Callithrix jacchus: one gene and its partners. The protein of the gene in region 1 interacts with the protein of each later gene in a biochemical or structural test. Links are inferred from orthologs where the notes say so. Each region holds a gene or a part of one and is shown in the gene's direction. Other genes may lie near its edges.

What was found.
Region 2: the proteins of TMED10 (region 1) and COPG1 form a complex in vitro, tested with the Homo sapiens proteins (2 studies listed by BioGRID). The link is inferred for Callithrix jacchus from reciprocal best matches to the Homo sapiens genes TMED10 and COPG1.
Region 3: the proteins of TMED10 (region 1) and COPZ1 form a complex in vitro, tested with the Homo sapiens proteins (2 studies listed by BioGRID, with this or other methods). The link is inferred for Callithrix jacchus from reciprocal best matches to the Homo sapiens genes TMED10 and COPZ1.

What each region holds. Positions count from the first base shown.
Region 1 is NC_133509.1:110,048,673-110,052,320, reverse strand, and holds part of TMED10 (transmembrane emp24 domain-containing protein 10), read left to right. Parts: intron 1-1,426; coding exon 1,427-1,553; intron 1,554-1,976; coding exon 1,977-2,098; 3' UTR 2,099-3,648. UniProt on the Homo sapiens protein: Cargo receptor involved in protein vesicular trafficking and quality control in the endoplasmic reticulum (ER) and Golgi.
Region 2 is NC_133516.1:72,872,864-72,877,146, reverse strand, and holds the start of COPG1 (coatomer subunit gamma-1), read left to right. Parts: upstream 1-1,374; 5' UTR 1,375-1,474; coding exon 1,475-1,511; intron 1,512-2,404; coding exon 2,405-2,457; intron 2,458-3,215; coding exon 3,216-3,296; intron 3,297-3,558; coding exon 3,559-3,630; intron 3,631-3,810; coding exon 3,811-3,890; intron 3,891-4,283. UniProt on the Homo sapiens protein: The coatomer is a cytosolic protein complex that binds to dilysine motifs and reversibly associates with Golgi non-clathrin-coated vesicles, which further mediate biosynthetic protein transport from the ER, via the Golgi up to the trans Golgi network.
Region 3 is NC_133510.1:65,209,499-65,213,146, reverse strand, and holds part of COPZ1 (coatomer subunit zeta-1), read left to right. Parts: intron 1-671; coding exon 672-740; intron 741-2,658; coding exon 2,659-2,740; intron 2,741-3,648. UniProt on the Homo sapiens protein: The coatomer is a cytosolic protein complex that binds to dilysine motifs and reversibly associates with Golgi non-clathrin-coated vesicles, which further mediate biosynthetic protein transport from the ER, via the Golgi up to the trans Golgi network.

The sequences.
Region 1 (3,648 bases):
TCTGGTGGTTTATCCCATTTTAAAGACAAGTATAATCTAAGATTGCTAAGAAAAAAACATAGAATAATGAAATCTTTGCTGGTGTGATACATGCCTCTAGTTATTAGATACTCTTAGAGTTTTCTTAGGGGTCTAAGTTGAGAACAGGAGACAGTTAATTTCTTTCTCATATCCTTCATTCCTCAGTATACAGGGAATTCCCTTCGAGATTTCTTTTGATAATTGGCTGTGTTATTTCTAAAAGAAAAATCAGTGCAGTTTTCTAACATCTGTGCTCTGATATTAAACCTTAAAGTTATTGTAGGATTTATCGGAACAAACCAGAATTCTCTACTTGTGTATTTTGAATTATTACCTTAATGCTATAATAACACATGTTTAATAACATGCTGTCAGTCCTATGTACTGTCCAAGGTTTAATGAATTTAGTGGTTTTTCTTCTGAAATCAGGTTTGACCTAATATGACTCTCAAATTTATTATATTAATAATATTGTTTACTTCTTACACATGAGTGGAAGGGCAAAGTAAAGTGCTTTACTAAAGTCCAAAATCAGCTGGGCCTGGTGGCTCACACCTGTAGTCCCAACACTTTGGGAGGCTCAGGTGGGCAGATTGCTTCAGCTTAGGAGTCTGAGACCAGCCTGGCCAATATGGTAAAACCCCATCTCTACAAAAAAGTACAAAAATTAGCTGGCAGTGCGTGACTGTGGTCCCAGCTACTGGGGAAGCTGAGGCGGCAGGATGATTGCTTGAGCCCAGGAGGTTGAGCCTGCAATCAGCCGATAACATGCCACTGCACTCCAGCCTGGGCAACAAAGTGAGTGAGACCCTGTCTCAAAACAAAAAATTTTGAGACAATAGTATATCTTACTTAATAGCCTACTGTTGTTATATTACTTCTAAAGAGATTTTAGTCAAAATTAAAGTATCAAAAAAGGTCTGAAATGGAAAGATATAGTCTATAGGGAAAGAAAGAAGCCCAAATTTAAAAATGTTAGGATGATTGATAGGGAAGAATTTAAATCTGGTGAAACTTTTAAAATAAGACTCCTAAGACTGGCACAGTAGCTCACGCCTTTAATCCCAGCACTTTGGGAGTCTGAGGCGGGCGGATCACAAGGTCAGGAGATTGAGACCATCCTAGCCAACATGGTGAAACCCCATCTCTACTAAAAATACAAAAATTAGCTGGGCATGGTGGTGTGTGCCTTTAATCTCAGCTACATGGGAGGCTGAGGCAGGAGAATGGCTTGAGCTGGAGAGTTGGATGGAGGTTACAGTGAGCCAAGATCACACCACGGCACTCCAGCCTGGCGACAGAGTGAGACTCCATCTCAAAAAAAAAAAGACTCCTCCGTTGCCTTCCTTATGTTCTTGACTGAAGCAATGTTTTCAGGGAGCTGAAAATATTCATTCTTTTCCAGATTGCAAAAGTTGAGAAGCTCAAACCATTAGAGGTGGAGCTGCGACGCCTAGAAGACCTTTCAGAATCTATTGTTAATGATTTTGCCTACATGAAGAAGAGAGAAGAGGAGATGCGTGATACCAATGGTGAGGGGGAAGGCGACTCTTCTTAAGTGATCCATAAATGAGACCATTCCCAAACTTTGAATTCTGGTGTACCCTTTTCTCAGTTTTGCCAAGACGGGTAAATGGAAGGGAAGTTGCTTGCTTCACTGTTGCTGCTTCTAACGGTAAATGAGCCTTGTTAGATTTTCAAGAAAGTAGAAATTTCTACTGTGATAAATGCAGTTGACAACATCCTGTTAACCTATACCCATATCAAATAGCACCAATCTTTGTAATTTTCAACATTTATATATAGGATAATGAACTTAAAAAAAATTAGCTGAAATCCTACTATTAGACCTAGGAACAGAGTGAAGTTAATTGCCTTTACCCACCTCCCCTGCCATTGTTTAGCCAGCTGAGGAGGCTCACTTCATTATGTTTATAATGCTTTTTTTTTTTTAGAGTCAACAAACACTCGGGTCCTATACTTCAGCATCTTTTCAATGTTCTGCCTCATTGGACTAGCCACCTGGCAGGTCTTCTACCTGCGACGCTTCTTCAAGGCCAAGAAGTTGATTGAGTAATGAATGACTGAGGCACATCTTCTCCCACCTTGTACCTCAGCCAGCAGAACATCGCTGGGACGTATCTGGCCTAAGGCATCCTACCAATAGCACCATCAAGGCACGTTGGAGCTTTCTTGCCAGAACTGATCTCTTTTGGTGTGGGAGGACACGGGGTACCACCTACACCCAAAAAGTCAATGAGGGACTTCTTTTTAATTTGGTAGGATTTGGACTGGTTTTGCAACAATAGGTCTATTATTAGAGTCACCTATGACAAAAAAACAGGGGTTACCTTGATAATGCCAAAGTCAGCATTTGTCCTGGGTTCCCTTGTGTGATCTGTTTGAACCATGTTTTCTTTTCTTCTCCCACTTGCTCAGCAGCTTGGGCTTCCATTGTACTTCTTTTACCAAGATTTTATGTGACCATGTTGACTTCATTCGGATTGCCCTCTTTCAGTTTTCTTGTGAAAACACCCTTAACTTTCCCTTTACCCTTAGCTGAAATGTTTACATAGCTTCTGGTGATACGTTTTCATGACTTTATGTCTCTGAAAATGGTGATGGATGTGACACTTCATAAAAGTGAGCTTTGAACTGTAGATAACTCTTAAAGAAAATGTCATTTCAGGCAATTAAAATATTTGTGCTCAACTGCTTGAACTTTATTCGTGTATGTTTATTTAGTTCTGTGCAATTTTATCACATGTGGATTCATGTGACTACCATCACAAGAGACAGAACAGTTCTATCACACAGATCCCTTTTGCTGCCCTTTTACAGCCACAGCCACGTCCCTTATCCCCTCACCCCAACCTGTGGCTACCGCTGTTCTGTCCACCATCTCTGTAATTTTGTCATTTCAAGAATGTTCTATGAATGGAATCATATACAATGTAATCTTAACGAGGTTGATTTTTCTTCATTCAGTTAATTCTCTTGAAACCAAGTTGCATGTATCAATAGTTTGTTCCTTTTTTTCTTTTAAAAAATGTTTTATATATTTAGGGGGTATAAGTGCAGATTTCTTATGTGCATATATTGGATTGTGGTAAAGTCTGGGCAGTTCTTTTTGATTGCTGAGTAGTATTCCATGGTATGGATGTACCACAGTTTGCTTAACCATTCACCCACTAAAGGACAGAAGAGTTGTTTTCAGTTTTTTGCCCTTACTAATAAAGCTGCTGTGAACATTCATGTACAGGTTTTTATGTGAACATTTTCATTTCTGGGATAAATGCTCAAAAGGGCAATTGTTGGGTTGTGTGGTAAACATTTATTTTTGTAAGAAACTACCCTACTCTTTTTCCAGACTGGTTGTATCTTTCACATATAGCCACTCATACAATTCATACAGCAATGTATGATTGATTGTTTCTTCACATCCACACCAGCATTTGGTATTATTATCTTAACCATTCACATAGATGTGTATAATGATGCCACATATGGTTTTAATTTACATGTTCCAATGGCCAATGATGTCGAATATCTTTTCATGTGCTCATATGCCATCTATATATCCCCTTCAGTGAAATATATGTTCATGTCTTTTGTTTATTTTCTATT
Region 2 (4,283 bases), on another chromosome or scaffold:
TGAAAGATTTTGAACATCTTTCTGGCTCTTCAAATTTTACCTGTCACAAGATCTGTTGCCCCAGGCCTTAGCCTCTGCAAAGCCATGACCCTAAGGTCTGGCCTCTCCCCCATCTCCCCTCCTTAGTGTTTTGCTGTCACCCTTTTCACCTGGGGCCTCTGCCTCAGCCTCCCACAGCCCACTCCTTCTCTTGCCCACAGGACTGCAGGCTTCTCCTCCCCAAGCAAGCTGGGGCTACGCGTTGCAGCGCTTGGCTATCGAAACTTTGCCATTGCCAATGCAATCTGGCTCGTTGGCATGCACTGTGTTTACCTTAACTTCAGGGTGTCCTGCATAGGTCCCCAGGAAGATAAACCTTGGGTGATGTGTCATTTTCCCCTTTCCCCCACCTTTCCGTGTAGGCAGCGCATCTAGTTGGCACTCCATAATTATCCTAAGTATTTACAAAACAACGTTGAAGTTCCATGCTGTTTAGGTAGATCCCTTAAACTTGATTAACATACAAGACAATTTGCATCAGGAGCAGATGAGCTAGGGCCCAGGGATATGATAAAAGTGCAGTTTCATGCATTCATTCTACGAGAACTCACTGAGCAACTACTATGTGACATTATCCACTACGGTGAATAAAAGACAAAACAAACAACAACAACAACAACAAAACAGCGGCCGGGCGTGGTGGCTCACGTCTGTAATTCAAGCACTTTGGAGGCCAAGGCAGGCGGATCACCTGAGGTCGGGAGTTCAAGACCAGCCTGACCAACATGGTGAAACCCCCGTCTTAAAAAAAAAAAAAAAAAAAAAAACCAGCCTGGTGCGGTGGCCCGGCAGGTATAGGCTGCAGTGAGCCGAGATCGCGCAACTGCACTACAGCCTGGGCAGCAGAACAAGACCCTTTTTCAGTAAGCAAATAAATAAATAAATTAATTAATTAAATGCCAGAAAGTAAAAATAAAGAGTGTTAAATGGCAATTAGAGCTAGGGAGGAAATCAGGCGGGGGAAAGAAACTGAAAGCGAGGAGCGGCTGGCAAGTCTCCCTCGGAAGGTGGCAATAGACCGGTCACATCAACTGGGTGTTTACTGCTGGCCAGTGTGTGCCACCAACCTCAAACGCGAAAGCCACAAGGACTGACGCCACAACACAACAAGGCAGGGGCTTCTCTTAGTACACGAAAAGAGACGTAGGGCGCAGAGTTACGCTAGTCAGTAACCCCAGCATCTAGCCCTCAACCCTCCTACTTAGGCCCTCGCCCCTCCCTCCGGCTTTCCCCACTCCTTCTCCGGCGGAGACAGACAGCCTGCGCCGGCCGGAATATGCGCAGACGCAGAGCGCGGAGTGCGCCTGCGCAGAGTGCAGGGCGACGTGGCCGGTTGGAGTCCGGAAGTGGTCCCTGTAAAACTGTCGTCGCTCGGCTATTCCTTGCCGCGCTCGTCGAGCATTGCGTTGCTGCGTTGCGTCCCACCGGCTCCACTATGTTGAAGAAATTCGACAAGAAGGACGAGGAGTCAGGTGAGAGGGCCAGGCCTGGGCCTGGGGGGAAGCGGGACCCCCCCACTCGCCGAGCCTTCCTTTGGGGCCTCTGCCCTGACCCGAATTCTGAGGCCCAGTGAGGAGCAGGAGCTTGTGCCAGGGTCCGCAGCTAGTCAGTGGCAGGCCTCGGAGAGCCCGAGCATGCTTGGCTGTCTCGGTTGTAAGCTCGGACTGCAATTTTCTGAATGACCTTGGGTGCGTCACGCCCCTCTTTAGGCCCCAGTTTGCCCATTTGTCAAAGGAGGGCACCGGGCCGAATGGTCTCTTGTTACTTTCTTCGTCCACCCTCTTGAGGTTCGCCGGGGCTATGTCGGTGTTGGCCAAACTGGGGTGTAATTTGCGGAGCCAGTGTCTTGTGGCTGGGAACTCTGACTCCATCATTCATTTATTCAGCAAAGTGTGTTGAGCGGTTACTGTATGCCAGGCACCGTACGGTGTCCTGGATACTGCAACAGAGCAAGTAGGATACTCAGTGACTGATCTGGGAATATTAGAATGGTCGCACACACGGTGGAGGAGACGGACATCAACCAGATAATCTCATTATTTGCAAATGTGACGTCTGCTATGAAGGAACTGGTTACAGGAAGATGGTGGTCCCTGGCACACAGGGACTTAATTACGAGTTATATAAATGAACGCAAGACATGGCACCGTAAGAAGCATAAGACTGTATCAGGGCTGTTGGGAGATTGTGAGTGGTTTGAGGTAGAATCCCTAGTAGAATCCCTAGACAGATTATAGAGCCTTGATTGCCATTGCTGATGAATTTGAACTTTACTAGATTTGCTAGGAAGGGACATCTTCCCTTTATCTTTGTCTGGGAGAAGTTCAGAATCACAACCTGCCTTCTCCATTGTTCTTGACTGTAGGTGGAGGCTCCAACCCGTTCCAGCACCTTGAGAAGAGTGCGGTACTCCAGGAGGCAAGTGACGTTTGCTCCCCTCTAGCTTCCATCATAAATATTCACCATCAGGGCAACTGAAATACCAACACATTCAAAGTATTGTTTTAAAGAGCAACACGGGAGAAAACTTGTGCCTGGAAGACAGGAAAACTTTGTTCCTGGAGACAATTCGTTATGCTTACTTCTTTTCTTTTCTTTTTTTTTTTGAGACAGAGTCTCCCTGTTGTTGGCCCAGGCTGGAGCACAATGGCACGATCTCGGTTTACAGCAACCTCCTCCTACTGGGTTCCAGCAATTCTCTTGACTCAGCCTCTTGAGAAACTGAGATTACATGCACCCACCACTACACCTGGCTAATTTTGTACTTTTAGTAGAGACGGGGTTTCACCATGTTGGCCAGGCTGATCTCAAACTCTTGACCTCAGGTGATCCACCTGCCTTAGCCTCTCAGTGCTAGGATTACAGGCGTGAGCCACTGTGCCCAGCTGCTTACTTCTTTATTGTTGTCATTCATTGTTTCTCTTTCCAGTTAGCAGATATTTGCTAAGTATCTGCTAATCGGTATGTTAGCACATCCCTAACTAATATTTACACAAGAGTCTAAGAATAATTAGTGGTTGAATTAAAAAAAAACTAATTATGAAAAGAAGCTTGTTGCATACCCAGAAAGCCCTGTTTAGACAAGTCTATTTACCCTGAGACTTCTCAGATATTTAATATACTTGAAAGGAAATGAACTAGGCTGGAAGATAACATCCTTGGTTACTTCTTCTTAGGCCCGTGTATTTAATGAAACTCCCATCAACCCTCGGAAATGTGCCCACATCCTCACCAAGATTCTTTATCTCATAAACCAGGTAACAGGGTGAGGCTTGGAGGTAGGGAGAATGGTGCTGGGGGATTGGAGGGGAGTGGACAAATCATGATCACTCTTAGGCTATTGGACGGCCTCTGTATGGTTGTAGACAACAGGGCAGCTCTGGGTCCCCTCAGCATCCAAGTCTCATGTGTTGCCTTTGAGCGTCTTTAGGGTCTGAGGATCTGGTGTGGGCTGATCCTGCAGGAAGAGCTGTCTGACGACTCTGTCCCAAGCTGAGACTTCTTTCTTGATTAACACAGGGGGAGCACCTGGGGACCACGGAAGCGACCGAGGCTTTCTTTGCCATGACCAAGCTCTTTCAGTCCAATGATGTAAGTGCCCTGACCCAGCTTTTTTTTGACAGGTGGCAGCTGTGACAAGGTGATGGGAGGCCAAGGGGTGCTGGCCCCACCAGTCAGTGTGGGCTGCCTTTGTGTAGATAGGAGATTTCTTCTCCCAACTCTGGCCCTCGGTAAGCCTGGGCTGATAGGCTTTTCCCACCTATCTCTCAGCCAACACTCCGTCGAATGTGCTACTTGACCATCAAGGAGATGTCTTGCATTGCAGAGGATGTCATCATTGTCACCAGCAGGCAAGTCATGGGGTTGTGGGTGGCTCCTCTGATGGATTCCATTGACAGACCATTTTTTCTTGTGTGTACCAGACAGTGAGACTTTTGGTTGCATATTGCCAGCTGCCCTTCTGCCCTTTCCTTTTCTGTGTCCCTTATTCTTCAATTACTGCTGCCCACTGCATGGCAGCCTCCAGGTGTGCTGTTTCCATTTTAATTCTCTGGCCTTGACTTGGACACAAACTCTTCCTTTCCTTGATTTCTCTTAGTCAGCCAAACCAGCCTAGAACTTTCCCATATATTTTCTTTTTTCTTTTTTTTTTTTTTTTGAGATGGAGCCTTGCTCTGTCCCCACGCTGGAGTGCAGTGGCACTATCTTGGCTCACTGCCACCTCCATCTCCCGGGTTCAAGCA
Region 3 (3,648 bases), on another chromosome or scaffold:
TTGCAAGTTAAGTGGTCCTGGTTAAGGTATAGTGGAAATACTGGAGAATATAGGAAAGTTTGGGGAGATGGCTGTCTTACTAGGCTGCATTGAGAACTGGTATGCCTCTCTGCGTGTGTGTGTGTGTGTGTGTGTGTGTGTATGTAAATGCTCTTTTCCCTCTGCTCAGTGTGTGGGTTGTTTAGGGAAGGCTTGCTTTATGCTTCTGCATTGCTACTGCATTTGGACTGCAGAAACTTCCAAGTATACTAGGACATACAACCCTATTTTGAAATGGCCTTGTTCAGTGCCTTTTAATTAATCTGGTCACATTCTGTAGCCACCTGTGCATGGGAGAGCAGGAAGGGAGAGGGTAATTTGGAAAATAACTGTACCATAATATTTGGAAATAACAGCATGACCTCTCTTGATTAAGCCCCCTATGAGGCAGAGAAACTGTTTCTCTGATGATACTTTGGAATCCTTTGTTGAAATGTTTTCTCTATCAATTCAGTTTACTTACTCTGGGTCTTTCTCAATGGGAAATATCAAAATCTGACCATGTTGAGGTAAGGGACTTACAGAGGTACCTCTGTATCCCCTTGCAGCCCCAGTGGGATTAGGGGAAGTTATCTGGTTTACCAGTGGTAGTGGGAGCCTTTAGGACTGAAGGTATGTTCATATCTCTTCAGGAACCTTCCCTGTATACTGTCAAAGCCATCCTGATTCTGGACAATGATGGAGATCGACTTTTTGCCAAGGTGAGATTCCCTTTCGAATTAGTTTAGGAACAGCACAAAGTCTTATTCTGAGATTTGAATCTTGGGACTGATCCCCTATTAATTCATGTACCTCAGTAGTATAATTTTGAGAATTCTTTCTTTTTTTTTTGAGACAGAGTCTTGCTCTGTCACCCAGACTGGAGTGCAGTATTACCATCTTGACTTACTGTAACCTCTGCTTCCCAGGTTCAAGCGATTCTCCCACCTCAGCCTCCTGAGTAGCTGGGATTATAGGCGAGTGCCACCATGCCCGGCTAATTTTTTGGTATTTTTAGTAGAGACGGGTTTCACCATGTTGGTCAGGCTGGTCTTAAACTCCTGACCTTGTGGTCTGCCCCCCTCAGCCTCCCAAAGTGCTGGGATTACAGGCAAGAGCCACGGTGCCCGCCTTTTTTTTTTTTTGAGACGGAGTTTTGCTCTTATTGCCCAGGCTGGAGTGCAATGGCATGATTTCAGCTCACTGCAACCTCTGCCTCCCGGGTTCAAGTGATTCTCCTGCCTCAGCCTCCTGAGTAGCTGAGATTACAGGTGCCTGCCACCATGCCCATCTAATTTTTCTATTTTTAGTAGAGACAGGGTTTCACCATGTTGGCCAGGGTAGTTTCGAACTCCTGACCTCAGGCCATCCTGCCCACCTCAGCCTCTCAAAGTGCTGGCATTACAGGCTTGAGCCACTGGGCCTGGCCTGAATTCTTCCATCCTTTCTTGCCTACTCCAGATAAAACCCGAGTTTTCTTTTGTCCCTTAGTTGTACTGCTCCCCTGCTTGCTGTCCTCAGACTTTGACCTCCATTGTTGTCAGCATCAAATTAGGGAAAAGCTTTGAAACTTTGGTTCCTAACAAAGCAGTATGTAGATGCTAAGAGGCAGCCTGCTCATGTCCATCATTCCTGTCCCCTTCCCTTCTACCTTGTCACCCTGCCTGGGTTTTTCCGGAGAATTCTCTTGCAGTCCCAAGGTTCCAGTCCTAGGTCTATAGTCACCATCAAGCTTGTTACCTCCTGACTTTCCCAGAGTGATGTTTCCAACTTTGGATCTGTTGGAAGGAAGAAGAAAGGACACCCCTCTCCTCTCCCTCCATATTCTCCCCCTCCTGTAGACATTCTTTCTGTCCCTGGTGTATTAACTCTGGGCAAGCATAGCATAAATCAATCAGCAGGTAGAGATTAGTTTAGAATTCACCAGCTGTTCCTCCCTGTAATTGGATGTAACTATGCAGGACACCTTTTGAAACAGTTATCCAGTTCCTAAATGCCAGACCTGTCATAGGTCTTCAGCTGACTGCGACGGATTAGCCCCTAAAGAGCTAGCAATTTAGCAGCCTGGATCTCAGCCCCCTTGCCAGGGAGAGCCTGGGAATGGGCTCTGTTGTATGCTGGATGGTTCTTTCAGCTTGCAGAAAAGAAAGCTAAGATAGACCATAGGGCAAGGTTTGCCTTTCTTTGGAGGAGGTTTTTGTAGCCTTTCTCCATTCCTCAGCTTCATACAGTGAGTGAGGGTCTAAGGAAGTGTTCTGTGCTTCTGGTGTTTTTTGTGTTCTCTGGCACTGCTCCCTGCCATGCAGTAGCTCCTGGGAAACACTTGATGAGAATACCCTTAGGAGAGCTCTAGACTGCACACAGGCACAGAGCCTCACCGTAGGGCTGGTAGGCTTCTGCCCTCAGACAGTCTTAAACATGTGAGGAGGGTTGCTTATGGCAGGGTCTTTTATGTATTTTCTTAGATTACTCACTACCCATTCTCTGCCTCTATAGTCCTTCCTTTTCCATGTCAGTATTTCTCCCTTGCCCCATGCCTTGAAAGAGAGAAATCCAAGATCCCAGGGCAAAATATAGTCACTAATCATTCTGAGCTTCCAGCTCTAGTGACCCAACCCTGTCTCCTTTCCCTCTGACCAGTACTATGACGACACCTACCCCAGTGTCAAGGAGCAAAAGGCCTTTGAGAAGAACATTTTCAACAAGACCCATCGGACTGACAGTAGGTCATTTTCCTTTCACTACTCCTCATGTTGGGGGGAACCATGGTGGGAAGCGGGTGGTAGCAGGGCTGCAGAGAAAGGATGAAATGACTCTGCCTCCTTTTCCTTTTTTTTCTTCCTCCCCTTGTATAATAAACTCTTCAGAAATGTAATGGGGAGGTGAGTGTACCTCACGCGGGAATACCGTGCTGGAAGGTTGGCTGTTAGCTACCTGTCTAGTTCCTGGATTTATGAGCCTCACTTGACAAATTTAACTGCAGCTCTGCTTATTGTACCGCATCCATTAGGGCAGGTAAATGGAAGTCTGTAAAGGTGACCGCTCTGCATTTTCACCTCCGAAGGATCGACTGGTATCCTGTCTCACATACAACAAGGAGGGAAATAGGTATAGTGGGCAGGAGCAGAGGATGATGGTTAGAGAAGATACATTAGACTCCCCCAAGTTTATACTTCTCTTCTCCTGCCATCACCCAAAAAGTGCAGATCATCTATCTTTGGAGGTCATTATAGTCGATTACAGTCAGCCTCACCTTAGCCCAAAACAGCTGGATACTAGGCATTCATGGGAACTCTTTTTTTTTTTTGAGACGGAGTCTGTCTCTCTCTCTCTCACCCAGACTGGAGTGCAGTGGCTCACTGCAACCTCTGCCTCCCAAGTTCAGTCGATTCTCCCATGTCAGCCTCTCAAGTAGCAGGGATTACAGGTGCATGTCACCATGCTGGCTAATTTTTGTGTTTTTAATAGAGATGGGGTTTCATCATATTGCCCAGGCTGGTCTTGAACTCCTGACCTCAGGTGATCTGCCCACCTCAACCTCCCAAAGTGTTGGGATTACAGGCATGTGCCACCACGCCTGGCTGGTAACTCCTTCTTTCCTACTTGCTTATCTCAGGCCACCTACTCTCT